Drosophila melanogaster: one gene and its partners. The protein of the gene in region 1 interacts with the protein of each later gene in a pairwise test. Each region holds a gene or a part of one and is shown on either strand. Other genes may lie near its edges.

Region 1 (8,557 bases):
TTGCATTGCACACGCAAACTTCGAATGATCTTGAAGAAACACAAAATGCAGTTGTTCTCAAACTGAAAATGTTACCTTCGCCCAACAAGAATGCAATCATTTTCAAGTACTTAACTCTGGACTTGAAACCCTCAACGGCGAGTCTGGAGGAGAAGCTGATACTTAAAGTGGCTTCATTCCTGGGCTACGGCAAGATCAACCGTCAGAACTTAAGTGTGCAATACCAATTCGAGAACACGGATGATAAGCCTTTTCTGCAGGATATGAAGAGATACTATTTTGAGAACTTAAGTATTGGCGCAACTCAGGTAATTTTTTAAAATCTAGACTTAATGGTCTTAAACAACTCAATTTTCTCTTTAAAGGTTCGACTTTCAGCATTCACTTCTTCAAAGTTGCCGGTGGAGTTGCATGAAACCAAGAAGGCACTTGGACTCACTCTAATAAAATTCGAAGATGCCTTGATTGAACTCGACAGGTATTCGGATAAATTGCACTTTGAGACGATGGACGTTTATCGGAAGGAGCTGAAGAAGCACTACATCAACCAAGTCAAATGGCATGCGGCTGCAATTTTGGGCAGCGTCGATTTCCTTGGTAATCCATTGGGATTTGCCAACGATCTTTCGGAAGGAGTATCCGGACTGATTTTTGAGGGCTCCGTCAAGAGTTTGGTGAAAAATGTTACGCATGGCATATCGAATTCGACGGCGAAGCTAACAGAAACGCTGTCCGATAGCCTGGGAAAAGTTGTGCTGGATGATCACGACAATGAGACGAGGCAACGCATTCTGGAACTGCAGTCCAATACATCCGGCGGTCACCTTGCAGCGGGTCTGAAGGGTCTCGGATTTGGACTGCTGGGCGGAGTAACGAGTATTGTAAGACACACTTACGATGGTGCCACTTCCGATGGCGTTCCTGGCTTTCTCAGTGGATTGGGAAAGGGCTTAGTAGGCACTGTCACCAAACCGATCATTGGTGTATTGGACCTGGCATCGGAAACTGCCAGTGCCGTTCGTGAAACAAGCCGAGATAGTCACAGAAACGCTCCGGAAAGGAAAAGGCTACCCAGATGTGTGACTGGTGCTCCTGGTGGTCTTTTGCCATTGTATTCCAATCGCCAAAGCAAGGGGCAGCAATATCTGTACCTAATCAATCAAAAGAACTTTTCGGAGAAGATAATTTCATATGAACCCAATCTATGGAGCGACAAGGAGGCTAGATTGCGCTTGCTGGTTTCTACAGAATACGTACGAATCTTTTCACTAAGCGACGCCAATCCAACCATTATGTTTGAATGTCATGTTAGTGAGATTCTTTCGTGCCATCCAGTGGTAACGAATGCCGGCACAACGCCAACCACGAGCAGCAGGGCGTCGGCCAGTCACTACATCGAGATATCAACCAATCTTCCAAAGATTACCAGGCCCAGGATACGGTGTCGTTCCGAGGAATGTGCTGAGGCAGCATCAAGATGCGTAAGTAGAAATCATCTTAGCAGAAATTAGTAGAAATTATCTTTCAATAATAAACTATTATTGTTGAAGCGCAGACTTTGTTTATCATATAATTTATTTACTTTTACAAATTTTGAAATGATTATCACATATATTCCATACTTGTCTTTTTCTTTTAGATAAACTACGCTAAAAGTGTCTTTGATGAACGTGAACATGCCGTTTTATAAAATGCAATAGGTCGGTTCGTGATAATAAACAAAAACCTTTTGACAACAAATGTTACATTTTATTTTCTTTGGCAATAAGTGCTATTTTAATTTCAAGTAGTAAGTAAAATAAACATTTAAGAAATAATGAACCCACATACTATGGTGTGATATAAATCAAGGATCAAAAAGCGATCGACACGGAATACTATAAACAGATATTACGGATTCATTGTAGGATAAAATGACCGCAGTGTAAATATTGTGTAGATATATTATTTGTCATGACGGGCATTAATACAAAAAAGAATGTTTGTAAAGTTAGTAACATTAATAAATATGGTATTTAATAATCGGCATTCTTGTAATGCTCCTTACGAAACGATGAGAGTTTTAGTCGTTGCATTTGGAGAGCTTGTTCGATTTCGAGTACTTTAACATGAATTTCCATTTCCATCGTTTTAATCTGTGATGGCGTTAGCTTAGAAAGTTCTATTTCACTCTGCTGCTCCAGCTGGGAGTTGCAATCCTTCACGGTGGCGACCAGAGTTCCTGTTGCCTGCGTTACGCTTCGCGAGGCTTTTGTGAGGTCGGTTAGCTTTTGACTATTACGTTCAGCCTTGACTTTGCTCGCAATAACCATTTGGGTCGTGCAGGCAGCAATTTCTTGGGCAGCCACAATGAGTTCAAAGTTCTTGCCAGATTCACTTTCAATAGCCTTGTTTGCAGCTTCCACCAGATAGTTGGCTGCCTTCGCCACACTTTTCGAGGCGGATATCAAACCATCTGACCACTGACTGTTCCGCCTATAAAACTCATTAGCACTCGCATTTCCTGAAAGAGTAATTACTTGTCAGTAACTTCATTGAATTAAAAAATATTGTTAGCTACCTTTTTGGGAAGCCACGATTTCGTGTTGCAGGAGACGAGATTTTTGGATTAGAGCTTTGACACATTCCATCAAGGTGGTACACGCATCCACTATTTTTCCGTTTACCTCTAAATTGGTTTGGTTGTCCTTCTCTCGAGCCTTTGCCAGTAGATCTGTAATTTTGGAGGCTGCATCATCAATCGCAGCGTCCATCTCGCGAAGCTCGATTTCGAGCAGCTTATCTAAATCAATCTTCTGTTCAAATGATGCCTTTATTTTCTCAATCAGCTTTTCAATATCTCTCAGCTTTGTTTGTATATCAGTGATTGTTTTCTGTCTCTCGGGTTCTTTTGTTTCATTATTTAATAAGTATTGGAACAATTGACAGATATCGGTACATAACAAATTTGTTTTTGAGAAAATTTCTGCAAAATAAGTAATACAAAGTTAGTTTGCTGTAGGTGGTTATGTTTTTAGTGTTATCAACTTACCCTGACCTGTCTCAATTGCAGTTGTTGTTTTGTAGATAACATCACATTGATCGTATAGTTTTATAAATACATAACCCAGATACATAACATTTTGCAGTCCTTCGGTTGAAGCAACATAGTTTATAGCCGATGCGTTATTGAACTTATTTAAAATGGTCTCCATTTCGCGTATTATGTTTGGCACCGCATCCAAAGGCTGTTGTTCCGATCCGCTCAACTTCGAATTGCATATTTCCTTTACAGTCTTGATCACCAATTTTCTGAGTTCACTCAAATCGGTACTACAGATTTGGTACGAACTTGTCACGGCATCAATTTGCTGTGTTGCTTGGGTTAGTTTTACCTCAGTAAGCGAGAGTTTGCTTTGCAAATCCTCGTTACGCTGACCCGCTGAAGCATTTTCCTGCCTCAATTGATTCACAATTTCCTGGGTTTGCTGAAGAAAGAAAAGCAGTTTCTATAATTTTCTTGATTTAAATTGGTTTCATTTACCTGTAATGCACTCTCATTTTGCTCCAAGTTGTTTAAAGTTAGCTGCAATTGAGCATTTTGTGCTTCGCTGTTGTTTTTATGCTCTATACCTAACTGCTCTATTTTAGTTAATAGCACTGATTTTTCCGCTTCAAATGCCTTTAAATTGTTTTGAATTTCCAATGCCTTTAAGCTGATTTGGCTTTCTGCGCTGGACAGCTGAAGCTTAACTTCATTGAACTCTTTATCCTTTTGTTCCAAGTTATCCATTATTTCTTGCAATTGAGCGTTTTGAGCTTCACTATGGCTTTTACTTTCAACACTCTGTTGTTCAATCTGAGTTAAGAGCAATGCCTTTTCCGCTTCAAAAGCTTTTAGCATTTTCTCGATATCCTCGGTCTTTGCATTTATTTGGCTTTCGGCGTTCGACAGTTTTTCCAGGGTGTCATTGAGGTTTCCATTAAGCTCTTCGACTTTGAGGCAATTTAGCCTCAGGTTTTCGGAAGTGGAAATAATATCGAGTTCCTGAATTTCCTTTTGTTTAACCACATCATCGAATTTCTCCTTCATCTCGTTTTTGACTGCTTCAAGATGTGCTATTTTCTCCTTGTGCTCTTCGATTTGCTTTTGCAGAATCAAGTTTGTTTTCTCTTTTTCCTCTACGTTTACTTTAATTTTGGAAATTTCATTGGTAAGCTCCTTAGTTTCCAACAATAGTTGTGAGTTTACTTGTTTCTCTTTATTTAAGGACTTGTTGCAATCACTTTGCTGATATAAAAGTATATGAATGAATATTAGTATAGGAAATAGAAAATATTGTGTTTCTGCATACCTCTCTCAGCAGCTGAATGTGCTCATCTCGAATCTTTGTGTATAGAGTTTTAAGTTTATTAAACTTTTCCGACGACAACTTGTGCTTTTCTTCTTCCTCCATAGCTTTTTCTGAAATACAAGGTATTTTTATATGACTTCATTATGTTTAATAAGCATTTAATTACGTAAAAGAATTGGGTTCTGATTCAGTTGCATCTCAAGATCGTCATTTTGCATCCGAAAGGTGGCACACATTTCTCTCGCCAAGACCAGATCATTTGACAGCACAGTATTGTTCTGTTGCAACTCCTGAACGTCGTGTCTGTAGCTTTGCTGCAGTGCGTCGAAATTTTTTTGCATTGCGTCCAATTTGAATGACAGCTCCTCAATGCTAGCCTCTTTCTCGCTGATTATACCCTCCAACATGCTAAGCTGCTGCTGGGCTTGACTGAAGGCTTCCAGCTCGTGATTGTTGGTATCCACAAGGTCTTCAACAACCGGATCGGGCTCCTGGGGAACGTGAACCACTGGCGGTACATAACTGGTGAAATCGTTTTGGGACTTGAAGTTAGGACTTGAGTCCGGCAATTCCGGGATTGTTATTAGGTCCTTGAAATACTGAAGCGGTCGCACGTTGTTGTAAAAACTCTTCAACTTTAAAAACAGACCGTGAAAGCGATCTCTGTGTCCGGAAACAACGTCGTATGGTACACCATCGTGTAGTTTAAACATTAACCGAACGCTTAAATCGTACAACGCATTGGAATCCTGGATAAGGCAAACTATTGGCGCTAATCTACATTGTCCCTGCGGTGTCATCGACGACATTCTGTACTTTTCCATAGATGAAAATATCGTCAATTGCAGCGCAATTATATCCTCCAAGTAGTCGAAAATTTCCACGCACAGTTGAAAACTGGAATCAATGGTTCTGTCTCAGTAGTTTGAAAGTAATATATATCTATTTTTACTTACCAATAATTTAAATCCCTATCCACAGCAATGAAGAGTTCCGTGAACGAAATGTTCAGGGTGCCGGGAAACATTCGATTTTTGTCGTGGAAGTTTAATTTTGTGGCCAAGAGCTTACTATACGCCTGTATGCAGCATCCAATATCGTCCTGCAGCAGGCCCCACATTTTTCCCACCTCCAGTATCATCTTCTTGTGGCTCTGCGAGTGGCGGATGGCACTTTCATGACCCTCTCGCAGGACCTTGTGCAGCAGATGCGAAAACTTCCAGGCAGTAAATCTACTCTGCATCAAAGGCTGCCGGGAGATGATCATCCAGAATGTTTTGGCCTCTTTGGCCTTGTGTATCATAATAATAATGGAGCGGGCATGTTTGGTTTTGAGTGGCGCTTCCAGGCCATTTAAAGCTTTGGACACGCTGACGTTCTGAAATGAAATGTAAATATTATAGTTTAAATGGCTTTTTATTGTTGTACACTTTCGAAGAAGTGACTGACTCAGCTTATAAGATATGGACGGATTTTGGCGGACGATATCTATAGTTTTATACTTTTTAGTGGAATTCGATCTAAAGGGGGTGACTCACTGATCGACTATTTAGTTTGGAAGTGCAAACATTTCGATGCTTTTAAAAATAAGATTCCAAACACCTACACCATGTGTTTGATATGAATTTATGATAACAGAAGGTAATCTAAATACTGGATTTCACTTCTTATCGTGCCGAATTTGGGTTGATAATCAAAAAATTTGAAAGGCCTTTGTGTGCACATTGAACAATTGATCAAAGTGGATGTAGTCCGCATAGCATTCATTGCAGTTTCTAATTTTCTGGGTCATCCGAAGCGGAGAAACTTGGGATTAGCATGTAGTGTAGTCTCTGTGGTGTTGCAAGTCGTGTGAAAAGCTGATGATATTTCGAGCTGTTCCATATAATCTGGTTCAAGGCTGACTTCTTAAGTGAAATGTTTATGCATATTTGAGCGGCGCGCCTGTAGTTGTGTGCATAAACATTTAGGTATTTACACTATGCACATGATATGACAACATCCGTGTGCCTATAATCTGCTGTGGGTATTCTTGGCGGTTTTCTTGGCTTTCCTTTGGGCTTACGTACCAGGTGGTAGAACTCCTTTTCGGCGTGAGTTGCCATTGTTTACTGACAATTCTTGGCGTACTTGCTGAACAAATTCGAATCATTCGCAGCGCGATATATGTGCATTAGAGCAAAGACAGCAAAGACATTGGAAACGGGAGTTATCTTATCTTATCAACAATGTTGGCCATTGTTTTCGTATTGGTCGCGTTCGTATTCATTCGGATTCCGATCGTGTGCGTGTATGAAACAATGAGTGTAAGAGTAAATTAGTCATATAAACAAATGTTGTTTTCCTTTATCGATAAAAGTTAATAGAGCTGGGCGGTGTTCCGATATGCGGGCTTTACCCTATCGATTCGTTTCGATAGTCATCAACTTCTTGCATCACCATTTTGAGCGCGAAAAAAAATGTTTTGCAAATTTTTATTTTTTTCCATTAAATCGAAGGATATTTGAATTGAAATACACTTAAATGAACCAATATTTAAATTATAACATCGAACGCTTTCAATAAAACTTCAGTTAAGTTAAAAATTTAATTTAATTTGATTTTATACGATGGTTTAAAAAAAAGCTTTAGAATGTGTTTTTGAAATTTTTGTGTACTGATTTTCTAAAAAGATAGATTTTGTTCGATATTTATAGATCTGCTACCATATTTTTACTTTAAATAAAAGAACGACAATTTTAATTTGTTTTTAAAGTAATTTTAATTTAATGTATTCTTCCAACTGTTTGGATTAAATTTGGTATTCCGATTGATCATAGTAATCCAAATGTACATTTTGCTGTGGCCAAAACATCTCGGCTGGGTATTGGTTTTGTGGTGGAATGTAACGTCGATTGGGATCTGGAACGGATGTCATCATCAGTTGCGGATGATGATATTGATTGCTATAAGGACAAGCGTGGTGTCTGAAAGTAGGATGCTGTTCTCCGTGAACAAAATTTGGCTGCAGTGAAAATTCCGGTGGCTGGAAGTTGGAATCCATGCGTGTTATATTATACTTATTCACGGTGCGTTCATAGAATCCATCTGGAAGCATTCGAATGTTCTCTTTTAGTTGAGGATTGTAGTCAGGGTTTCTGGCCTGAGAGGAACTTGGGTCTGAAGTATGTACAGATTCCTGAAAATGATGATAGGATCCATGATCCGGCTGACATTGTTCCTTCATTTGAAATTGATGCTGCACGGCTGGTGCTGAAGCTGGTGACTTAGTGGGCATCCACTGATCCCGCGGATCTATAAGGTACCCTTCATCGAAAGGAGTGACATTTTGTGGAGCACTCACAGAGATCTGCGGTTGTAGCATATGATCCGGTGGCTTCGTAAATCCTTGATGGAGACTCGGAGGAAGACCCGTGTATTGATAAGGACACGAGTTACAGGGCGGTCGTCCACAGGTCTGGAGTAGAATTTCCCTGTTACAGGGAGTTCTTGTCTCTATAAGAACGGTGTTCCCATTGATATTTGCCTGGTTTCTGATCCCAGCACTTTCACAACTACGAAGTTTTCGAGGTTGCATTAGGGTTACCGTTTCCAGTGTTTCCACGTCAGTCGATGTATTGGGAGCTAGTAATTGGGAGTTCGGAGGTGGATCTGTCCAAGTTAAGTCAGTAGAATACCCAGAAGCTCCAACCATAGCTGAATTATGCGACCCGTCCTCGTTTTGATGACTATCGCGATGGCTTTGGTCACTATTATTTCTATCACAAGCTAGGTATTCATCTTGTCTGTGCTGGTCAGGATATTGGCTGCTGGCCGAAATGAATCTTCCGCCTTGCGAATTGTTTGAATCATTTCTTTGAATACGTCTAAGTACTGGGTAAGATGTTTGGGATGGGGCTTTTCGTCTATTTTCTGAGGATGGTGGATTGTTACTCAAAGAATCAGAAACGCCTGGATGATTCTGCAGATTCCTATTTCTCCTTTCAATAGATTGCTCTGCTGTATTCGTTCTAGTAGATGGCGAAGAAGCTAGAACAAATACACCGTTCATTTGGCCAACAGAAGAATTGCAGTTTCGATTCTTCGTCCTTTTTGTTTTCTGGGTTTGTAGTCGAACGTGTCTTGTAGTCGCTGGTGCCATTTGAAATTGATTGGTATTGAGTCTGGTGAAGTTTAGACCAAATTTCCTCCTGAAATATGTTTGGATTAAAAGTAAGAGATCA
Region 2 (4,119 bases), on another chromosome or scaffold:
ATGCCTTAATCATGATTCTATTAATGAGCTATGTGGATATGACAGTCTATATGGTCGAAGTGGCTGGCAATTGGCTGCTGGTAAATATGACCCAGGGGGTTCGGGAAATGGTCCAAGATCTAGAGGTCTTGCCCGAACGGAATGGCATTCCGCGGGAGATGGGACTGATGCAAATCCTTGCCGCCTGGCGAAAACTTTGGAGACGCTGTCGCCGTTTGGATGCGTTGCTCAAGCAGTTCGTTGACATCTTCCAGTGGCAGGTGCTCTTCAACCTGCTAACCACTTATATATTCAGCATTGCTGTTTTGTTTCGATTGTGGATTTATTTGGAGTTCGATAAAAACTTTCATTTATGGAAGGGCATATTGTATGCGATTATTTTTCTGACCCATCACGTCGAAATCGTAATGCAATTTTCCATTTTCGAGATCAACCGCTGTAAGTGGTTGGGACTTTTAGAAGATGTCGGAAATCTGTGGGACATCAATTATTCGGGAAGGCAATGCATTAAAAGCAGTGGAACGATTCTGTCAAGAAAGGTAAATATTTTGTATTGAATTCATAGTGCAAAGATAATGACTAACGCTTTATTTTAGTTAGAGTTTTCCCTGCTCTACATGAATCGCAAACTTCAACTGAATCCAAAACGTGTGAGACGTCTGCACATCGTTGGATTGTTCGATTTGAGTAATTTAACCGTTCACAACATGACCAGAAGTATAATAACCAATGTGTTAGTTCTGTGTCAGATTGCCTATAAAAAATATGGTTGAAAAATAATGTGTGTAAAGTTATCCAATTAAATTTCAATATCAAGTAATTTGACAAAATGTTTTTGGGTTCGAAGGTCTGCTAAAATCTTCCAAATTTTATATAAAACATTATATATTTAAGCTTTATAGAAAACAAGGAACATATGTATGTATTTATTTCTAGCTGGCCCCAATACATAACTCTTTTGGAGACATCTTAAAATTATCCGCTATACAAGAAAGCCACAAAATCATAGCTTTCAATTCGAATTTGATATCCTATAAAACTCCCATGACTGAGAGTCCTGTAAGCTGCGAGAAAGCTTTCTATTTTCGTGTAAAGTTCTGAAAGCTTGATTGATTTACGTTTATGTATCATATCAAGGTAAAAAAAAAAACCGTGTATAAATGGTGAACATTTAGGTAGATAGATATAAGATATATGATTTTCTTTACACTTTTGTTTTGTTCTTCATCAAATGGATGAGATATTGACGATCATTGATGGGTTGTCTTTGCCGTCTCAAATCGAACTGCATGAGGATAATGACGTTGCTCAGAATGGAGCCAATATAACTAAGGCAAGCGGGTTTGTCCAGCTCCACAATTCCGCATATTTTGTAGACCAACCGATTCTGCCTCAGCTGCATGGTAAAAACATCCAACTAAGTGGAATATTGTTTAGTATATATTAAATTTTGTTTGAGGCTGAGCACACTCACCTCCCTTTGCATCTTTGGACCCACTTTTGGTAGATCGCTAAGTTGCCTTAGTTGCTGGCCAGTGTTGTTGCAGGAGGTCACCACACTATCCAGCATTTCCATCAGCGCCATGGTGCCCCAGAAGTTGAAAACGATCAATCCGTTGCCAAATAAGATGCCCCAACCATTTGACTTGATGCTGCTATTGCTGTACTGGACGGCATGATAAAGGATATTAATAGCGGTCATAAACATGTTGATAAACACCGTGGCATTAGCGATGTCAAACATGTCAAAGATCCTTCTGGCTAATCGAAGGGTTTTCAGATGCATGGCGGCTACGGAACGCAGAGCTTTCCATTTCTTCCGGGCTTTCCTACCATGAAGAGCGTTTATGGCCAGATGGATTACCAAAAATTGATGATTCAGTAGAACCAGTACCCCGAAGAAACCCATTTTCACGCACAAGAAGTGCAGAAAGTGCGTGAGCCGGGCACAGAAAGCCAGGAAAATCTGTGGGTTAATCACACTGAGCAATTGATACTGCAACACAGTGGAGCACAGAAAAGCACTATAGAGTAATATTATTTTCCGGATCATTATTCTGGCCAAGGACTCTTGTAGGTCAAGGAGTTCTTTCTTGTCCACTATGGCCCTCGTTATGTGTCCGAACCTCTTCCAATATATCAGCGAGTATTTATAGAGCTGAATGATTTTGTGGCGCTTTAGCCACAGGGTTCCATAGCAGCTCACCACAGCGATGGCTCTAAGGAAGAGCATCACAAAGAAGTTCCACTGCAGGACTATGTTGTACTTCATGTAGCCATCTTCCATGATCCGAGGCACCATGAAGTACAAGTTTAGAAACAGGAATATGCCCACAAAGAAACTGTAGATGGTGTAAGTTCGCGAGACCTTTTCCAAGCGTAGGCATTTCCTGCAGGAGCGTATCCTTAGGGTAGTGCTCATTAGGGCGAAGACAACGGAATGGTAGTAGACCACGTTCATCACGCGACCAAGTTTCGGATGCAACATGCTGCAGTCAAGGCAGCCAGGTAACTGACCACGTCCTAAACGCGGCAGACAACTAATTAGGATATAAAGCTTACTGATGGAATTACGATGAGCAGACAGGTTCTCCGATTTCCATCAGGATAACAGAGCTTCCATCGATTTTATAGAACAGTTGACGGGTGTCCTTTGCCGGAAGCAGTTGTACGAAATGCTGTTGAAATTCATGTACATATATGGAATAGGCTGTGGTCTGATGCCTGCTCCTCTGAAGAAAGGACAGTTTCTTTTGGGATATAAGCAGAGATGGTACCTCATCTATACGGCCTGCCTGCACGGCGGTCTACTGACCGTCCTGCCCTTCACATTTCCCCACTACATGTACGACGACAGCTACATGAGCAGCAATCCAGTCCTGAAATGGACATTTAATCTAACCAACATCACCCGTATTATGGCCATGTTTTCGGGCGTTCTCCTGATGTGGTTCAGAAGAAAAAGGATCTTGAATTTGGGTGAAAACTTAATACTTCACTGTCTTAAGTGCAAAACACTGGATAATCGTTCTAAGAAGTATTCTAAATTGCGGAAAAGAGTTCGAAATGTACTTTTCCAGATGTTACTCGTCGCAAATCTCAGCATTCTGCTGGGGGCTTTAATTTTGTTTAGAATTCATTCAGTACAAAGAATTAGTAAAACTGCAATGATTGTAGCCCATATTACACAGTTTATATATGTGGTCTTTATGATGACGGGAATATGTGTGATCCTATTAGTTCTCCACTGGCAAAGTGAGAGACTTCAAATAGCACTCAAGGACTTGTGCTCCTTTCTTAATCATGAAGAACGCAACTCCTTGACTTTATCAGAAAACAAGGCCAATAGATCCCTCGGAAAATTGGCTAAGCTCTTTAAACTTTTTGCGGAAAATCAGCGATTAGTCCGAGAAGTTTTTCGAACCTTTGACTTGCCCATCGCCCTTCTTTTGCTGAAAATGTTTGTTACAAACGTGAATCTGGTTTATCATGGAGTGCAATTTGGCAACGATACCATAGAAACCTCAAGTTACACAAGAATCGTGGGACAGTGGGTGGTGATTTCTCATTACTGGAGTGCTGTTTTGCTCATGAATGTTGTGGATGACGTGACGCGGAGAAGTGACCTGAAAATGGGAGACCTCCTGCGAGAATTCAGTCATCTGGAGCTGGTCAAAAGGGACTTTCATTTGCAGGTAGCATTTTTCTGGTAAAATATACGATATAAAATTTTTCATACATTTTTAGCTGGAACTTTTCTCGGATCACCTTCGTTGTCATCCGTCAACGTATAAGGTCTGTGGACTATTTATTTTCAATAAGCAAACGAGTTTGGCTTATTTTTTCTATGTGCTGGTTCAAGTTTTGGTGCTTGTACAATTTGATTTAAAAAATAAAGTTGAAAAAAGAAATTAAAAGTGATAAACAGAAGCTCTAAGCTCTAAATAACATATGTACATAAGTATAATTCCTTATGTACATATGTATGTATTTGGCTGGCCAAAATCCTTCTTATTGTCAAAAATCATAATATATTTTGACGCCCAGAAGCAGGATCAAATTAGGCAACAAATAATTTCAATAAATGTACATATGTACACCATGTGTGCACACTGAGAG
Region 3 (4,181 bases), on another chromosome or scaffold:
GGGCTACTCACTCCATCGTATACGCTCGGCGTAGAACAAGTGATGAACATCAGAAGCACTAGTTCCACCCTCGTCCAAGCTGAATCCCACATTCATTTGTTTGTAAAAGTCAGTTTCAACGAACGCTGCCATGCCATGGATGCCTCCAATCTCCTCGTCAGGAACAAAGGTTACATAGAGCGTCCTTTTCGGCTGAAAGCCATCAGCCCTCAGCAGGCGTATAGCTCCTAGATACTGAGTGCCCACCGATTTCATGTCCTGAGCACCTCGTGCAAAGATCCTACCCTCCTCGTCGATGTCGGCGGAGAAGGGTTCATGGGTCCACATTTCCGGGAATACAGGAACCACGTCCATGTGCGAGCTTAAAATGATTGAGGGCAACTTTGGCTGGCTTCCTTCCCATTTAATGATCACCACAGGTTTTGATTTAACAGCTGGAAAAACTACTTCCACGGGCAGATTGAGGGAATCTGCCTGCCGCTTAATAAACTCCACACAAGCAGCTAAAAATGAATAGTGCTAATGCATTTAAGGAAATATTAAAATAAGGACCTTACTATAATCAATATTAGGGTGTACAGATGGAATTCGCAAATACTCCCGGAATATTCGAATTTCCTCGTTCTTTTCCCATTTTTCGGCACTCATTTTTAATATGAATCGTTAGGATGGTAAAGTAGAAATAAGCAGCTAAAGGCATCCGCTGTCTTTATATGCATTTGGATCGTGCCACAAAAGTGATTATGCGTATATGATAAGAAAATCGTTATCAATGGGCGGCAGATCTCTTCCAATTCTGACTATATTGCAAGTCACTTTGGATGGCAGTCGAGGTAGTGACAAGAAGCAGTATAGTTGACAATCTGCTACAGAATTCCCATCAGAATCATTTATATCTTGATCAAGGAGGCGAAAGTCAAAGAATCAACAAACAATATTGAGATAAACACGGAATTTCAAATTAAACTCTTGAATCTTTTTTTTTTTTTGATAAGATTACTCTCTAAAATGAAGATACGAGGCACACTTTAGTAATTAGCCCATCTTTATTATAGCCACGATCCATGTAGTTCAAACATTTTGTTTAGACTTCAGCCAGATTGCGAATAATCTTCTTGTACACATCAATGCCATTAAGATACACATCAGCCTGCAGAAACTCGTCGTGGTCATGGATCCGCATGGTGGTGTTTATAATGGGTGAGAATCCAATGGCTGGGGTACCCTTCTCCCGAATGAAACGACTGTCAGTGGCGCCAGGACAAACGATGGGATGAACCTTCAATCCACTAAAACACAGGAGGATTTCGATTAGCCATTATAGTTAATTTTTAGTCGGTACTTACAGCTCATCGATTGCGGCTTTGACAGCTAGCCAGTAGGGATTGGAATTGTCCAGCTTGGTGGGTCCTATATAAGGCTCCTTCTGGAAGAAATCAATTTCAATGCCACCACCCGCCTCCTCGCACCAATCGCGAATCTGTTTCTCAAAGGCAACCACATTCACAGTAATGGCAATCCGTATGTCGAAGACCGCCTCGAAAAGTGGCGGAACCACATTGCTCTGGACTCCGCCACTTAACTGGGTGAGATTCACGGTGGTCACATCGCCCTTGCTGAGGCTGGAATCTCTCGCAAGGTTCTCCACTTGCGAGGTGCGGAATTCAGTCAGTTTGTTGACCAGATAGTTCAGTTTTACTCCTGCCGTATTGGGTAGCAAAAGGGAACCATGACCAGAAGTTCCACTGACTTTCAGCTTGAGTCCTGCATAAAGCGAAACGGTAATGTCCCCAATCCATCATCATCATCCTTATGGAACTTACCCCATCGCAAACGTTCGGCGTAGAACAAATGATGAACGTCACTTTCACTAGTGGCGCCTTCGTCCAGGCTGAATCCCGCGTTCATTTTCTTGTAGTAATCCGTCTTAACAAACTCCGCCATGCCCAGATGACCACCAGTCTCTTCGTCGGGAACAAAGGTCACATACAAATTCCTTTTTGGTTTGAAGCCACTAGCTTTCAGCAGGCGAATCGCTCCTAGATACTGAGTGCCCACCGATTTCATGTCCTGAGTACCCCGTGCAAAGATCCTACCCTCTTCATCAATATCGGCGGAGAAGGGTTCATGGGTCCACTTCTCTCGAAAAACTGGCACCACATCCGTGTGAGAGTTGAGAACAATGGACGATAGTTCGGGTTGACTTCCTTCCCACTTGATGATCACAACGGGCTTCGTTTGAACAGCAGGATAAACCACTTCAACAGGAAGATTTAGGGAGCTAGCCTGACGTTTCAGGAACTCCACACAGGCAGCTAGACATTGAAAGACATTATAACGCAAACTTTAAAGAATTAAAATTAAGTCCTCACTATAGTCAACATCTGGATGCACCGTTGGTATACGCAAGTATTCCCGGAAAATCTTAATTTCCTCATTGTTTTCCCACTTTTCCGAGCTCATTTCGACACTCTTCTGTCATCAGCAACTGAGCTGCAACAAAGATTGTCTGTGCTTTTATAATCACACTGATTGCTTTCATGTTTATGGTCAAGGAATTTAAATGCTTATCAAAAGTGTATGTGGTTGCGATAGTAACGCCCTTATCTGCAAAACCCACACGTCTATTATCCGAATAAGTAACTTTTCTAAGCGGCAAATAGTTCATTATGTATTATCTATGCAACTTACACAGAAATGAGTTCATTGCGTATTATCTATGCAACCTCAACCTTTGAAACCTCAAGTTCTTGGTAAGTTGTCATGTATTTTTCAATATTTTCCATCATATCGTAAAATTATGACAAATTCAATTAAAATGACGAAGCTTTGATTGATGACCTTCGATTTGAAAAAATCAAGTGATTATTTTGGATTTAATGGGCTTCCCAGTCTTCCAACTTGCTATCTATGATGATACAGCAAAATGTAGATACATCCATTATCTACTTGCTGTCGCAAGGATAGCAAGTTGTATTCTTCAGATCTTAAGTTGATTAAGGTATTCGTTGAGATAAGATAAAAGGCCAGGAAGTTTTGTACTAACTTATAACAAAATCATCAATCTTTATTTTGATAAGGTTTTCATGTATTATTTCGATTTAGTTTTTAGACATTCGCTAGGTTGCCCAAAATTTTCTTGTATATTTGAATGCCCTTCAAATAAGTTTCGGCGCCCAAGAACTCATCGTGATCATGGATGCGCATGGTGGTATTTTTGATGGGTGAGAATCCCAAGGCTGGAATGCCCTGAGCTCGAATGTTCCTGCTGTCGGTGGCACCGGGGCAGACAATGGGGTAGATCTTAAGGCCACTATAAACATACAAATCGTATTAGGAACACGCATTGTTGAGCATTCGATTCAGACTTACAGTTCATCGGTGGCAGCCTTGAAAGCCAGCCAGAATGGATTGGAGTCGTCGATCTTTGTGGGTGCCACGTAGGGTTCCTTCTCGTCGAAGGAGATCTCGATGCCGCCACCTGCCTCCTCGCACCAATCGTGGATCTGTTTCTCAAAGGCAACCACATCCAGGGTGATGGACAGACGCATGTCGAAGACAGCCTCGAAATGAGGAGGCACCACATTGCTCTGGACTCCACCGCTCAGCTGGGTGAGATTGATAGTTGTCACATCACCGATGTTGATTGTCTGATCATTGGCCAGCCTCTGAACCTGCGATTCGCGGAACTCCGTCAGCTTGTTGAGCACATAGTTCAGTTTCACGCCGGCAGTGCTGGGCAGCAACATGGAGCCGTGTCCAGAGGTTCCACTGAAATTCAGCTTGAGACCTGCCAAAGAGGGGATATAGTTTAGATTCTAGTCCTAGATGTGTCTCAAGGATTACTCACCCCATCGCATACGTTCGGCATAAAAGACATAGAACAGATCTATTTCACTGGTGCCGCCCTCGTCCAGACTGAAACCAACATTCATGTTGCTGTAGTATTCCGTTTTGACGAACTCCTGCATGCCCAGCTCGCCGCCGATCTCCTCATCGGGCACAAAGGTCACGAAGAAATTGCGCTTGGGCTGGACACCACTTGCCTTAAGCAGGCGGATGGCACCCAGATATCCTGTGCCCACCGACTTCATGTCCTGAGTACCGCGCGCAAAGATCCTGCCCTCCTCATCGATATCGGCAGCGAAGGGATCGTGGGTCCACTTGTCACGGAACACCGG

Evidence for each region. Proteins that work in one complex are often made in the same cells at the same time.
Region 2: the proteins of Hip1 (region 1) and Gr58b interact in a two-hybrid assay, tested with the Drosophila melanogaster proteins (one large-scale study listed by BioGRID).
Region 3: the proteins of Hip1 (region 1) and CG6733 interact in a two-hybrid assay, tested with the Drosophila melanogaster proteins (one large-scale study listed by BioGRID).

The regions. Positions count from the first base shown.
Region 1 is NT_037436.4:12,766,872-12,775,428, forward strand, and holds Hip1 (huntingtin interacting protein 1), read right to left. Parts: upstream 6,703-8,557; 5' UTR 6,440-6,702; coding exon 6,404-6,439; intron 6,349-6,403; exon of another isoform or gene 5,873-6,348; intron 5,713-5,872; coding exon 5,291-5,712; intron 5,232-5,290; coding exon 4,501-5,231; intron 4,445-4,500; coding exon 4,335-4,444; intron 4,271-4,334; coding exon 3,524-4,270; intron 3,468-3,523; coding exon 3,032-3,467; intron 2,966-3,031; coding exon 2,561-2,965; intron 2,504-2,560; coding exon 2,016-2,503; 3' UTR 1,691-2,015; coding exon of another isoform or gene 1,640-1,690; 3' UTR 1,561-1,639; downstream 1-1,560. Other genes in the region: Vps13D (vacuolar protein sorting 13D), read left to right, coding at 1-308, 366-1,481, 1,640-1,690; CG32106 (uncharacterized protein), read right to left, coding at 7,126-8,524.
Region 2 is NT_033778.4:21,977,185-21,981,303, forward strand, and holds Gr58b (gustatory receptor 58b), read right to left. Parts: upstream 2,494-4,119; 5' UTR 2,489-2,493; coding exon 1,475-2,488; intron 1,418-1,474; coding exon 1,205-1,417; 3' UTR 1,031-1,204; downstream 1-1,030. Other genes in the region: Gr58c (gustatory receptor 58c), read left to right, coding at 1-539, 597-773; Gr58a (gustatory receptor 58a), read left to right, coding at 2,676-3,695, 3,748-3,915. UniProt on the Drosophila melanogaster protein: Probable gustatory receptor which mediates acceptance or avoidance behavior, depending on its substrates.
Region 3 is NT_033777.3:23,096,041-23,100,221, reverse strand, and holds CG6733 (uncharacterized protein), read right to left. Parts: upstream 2,495-4,181; 5' UTR 2,464-2,494; coding exon 2,373-2,463; intron 2,316-2,372; coding exon 1,824-2,315; intron 1,765-1,823; coding exon 1,347-1,764; intron 1,290-1,346; coding exon 1,085-1,289; 3' UTR 1,031-1,084; downstream 1-1,030. Other genes in the region: CG6738 (uncharacterized protein), read right to left, coding at 12-503, 558-648; CG17109 (uncharacterized protein), read right to left, coding at 3,109-3,313, 3,373-3,790, 3,851-4,181.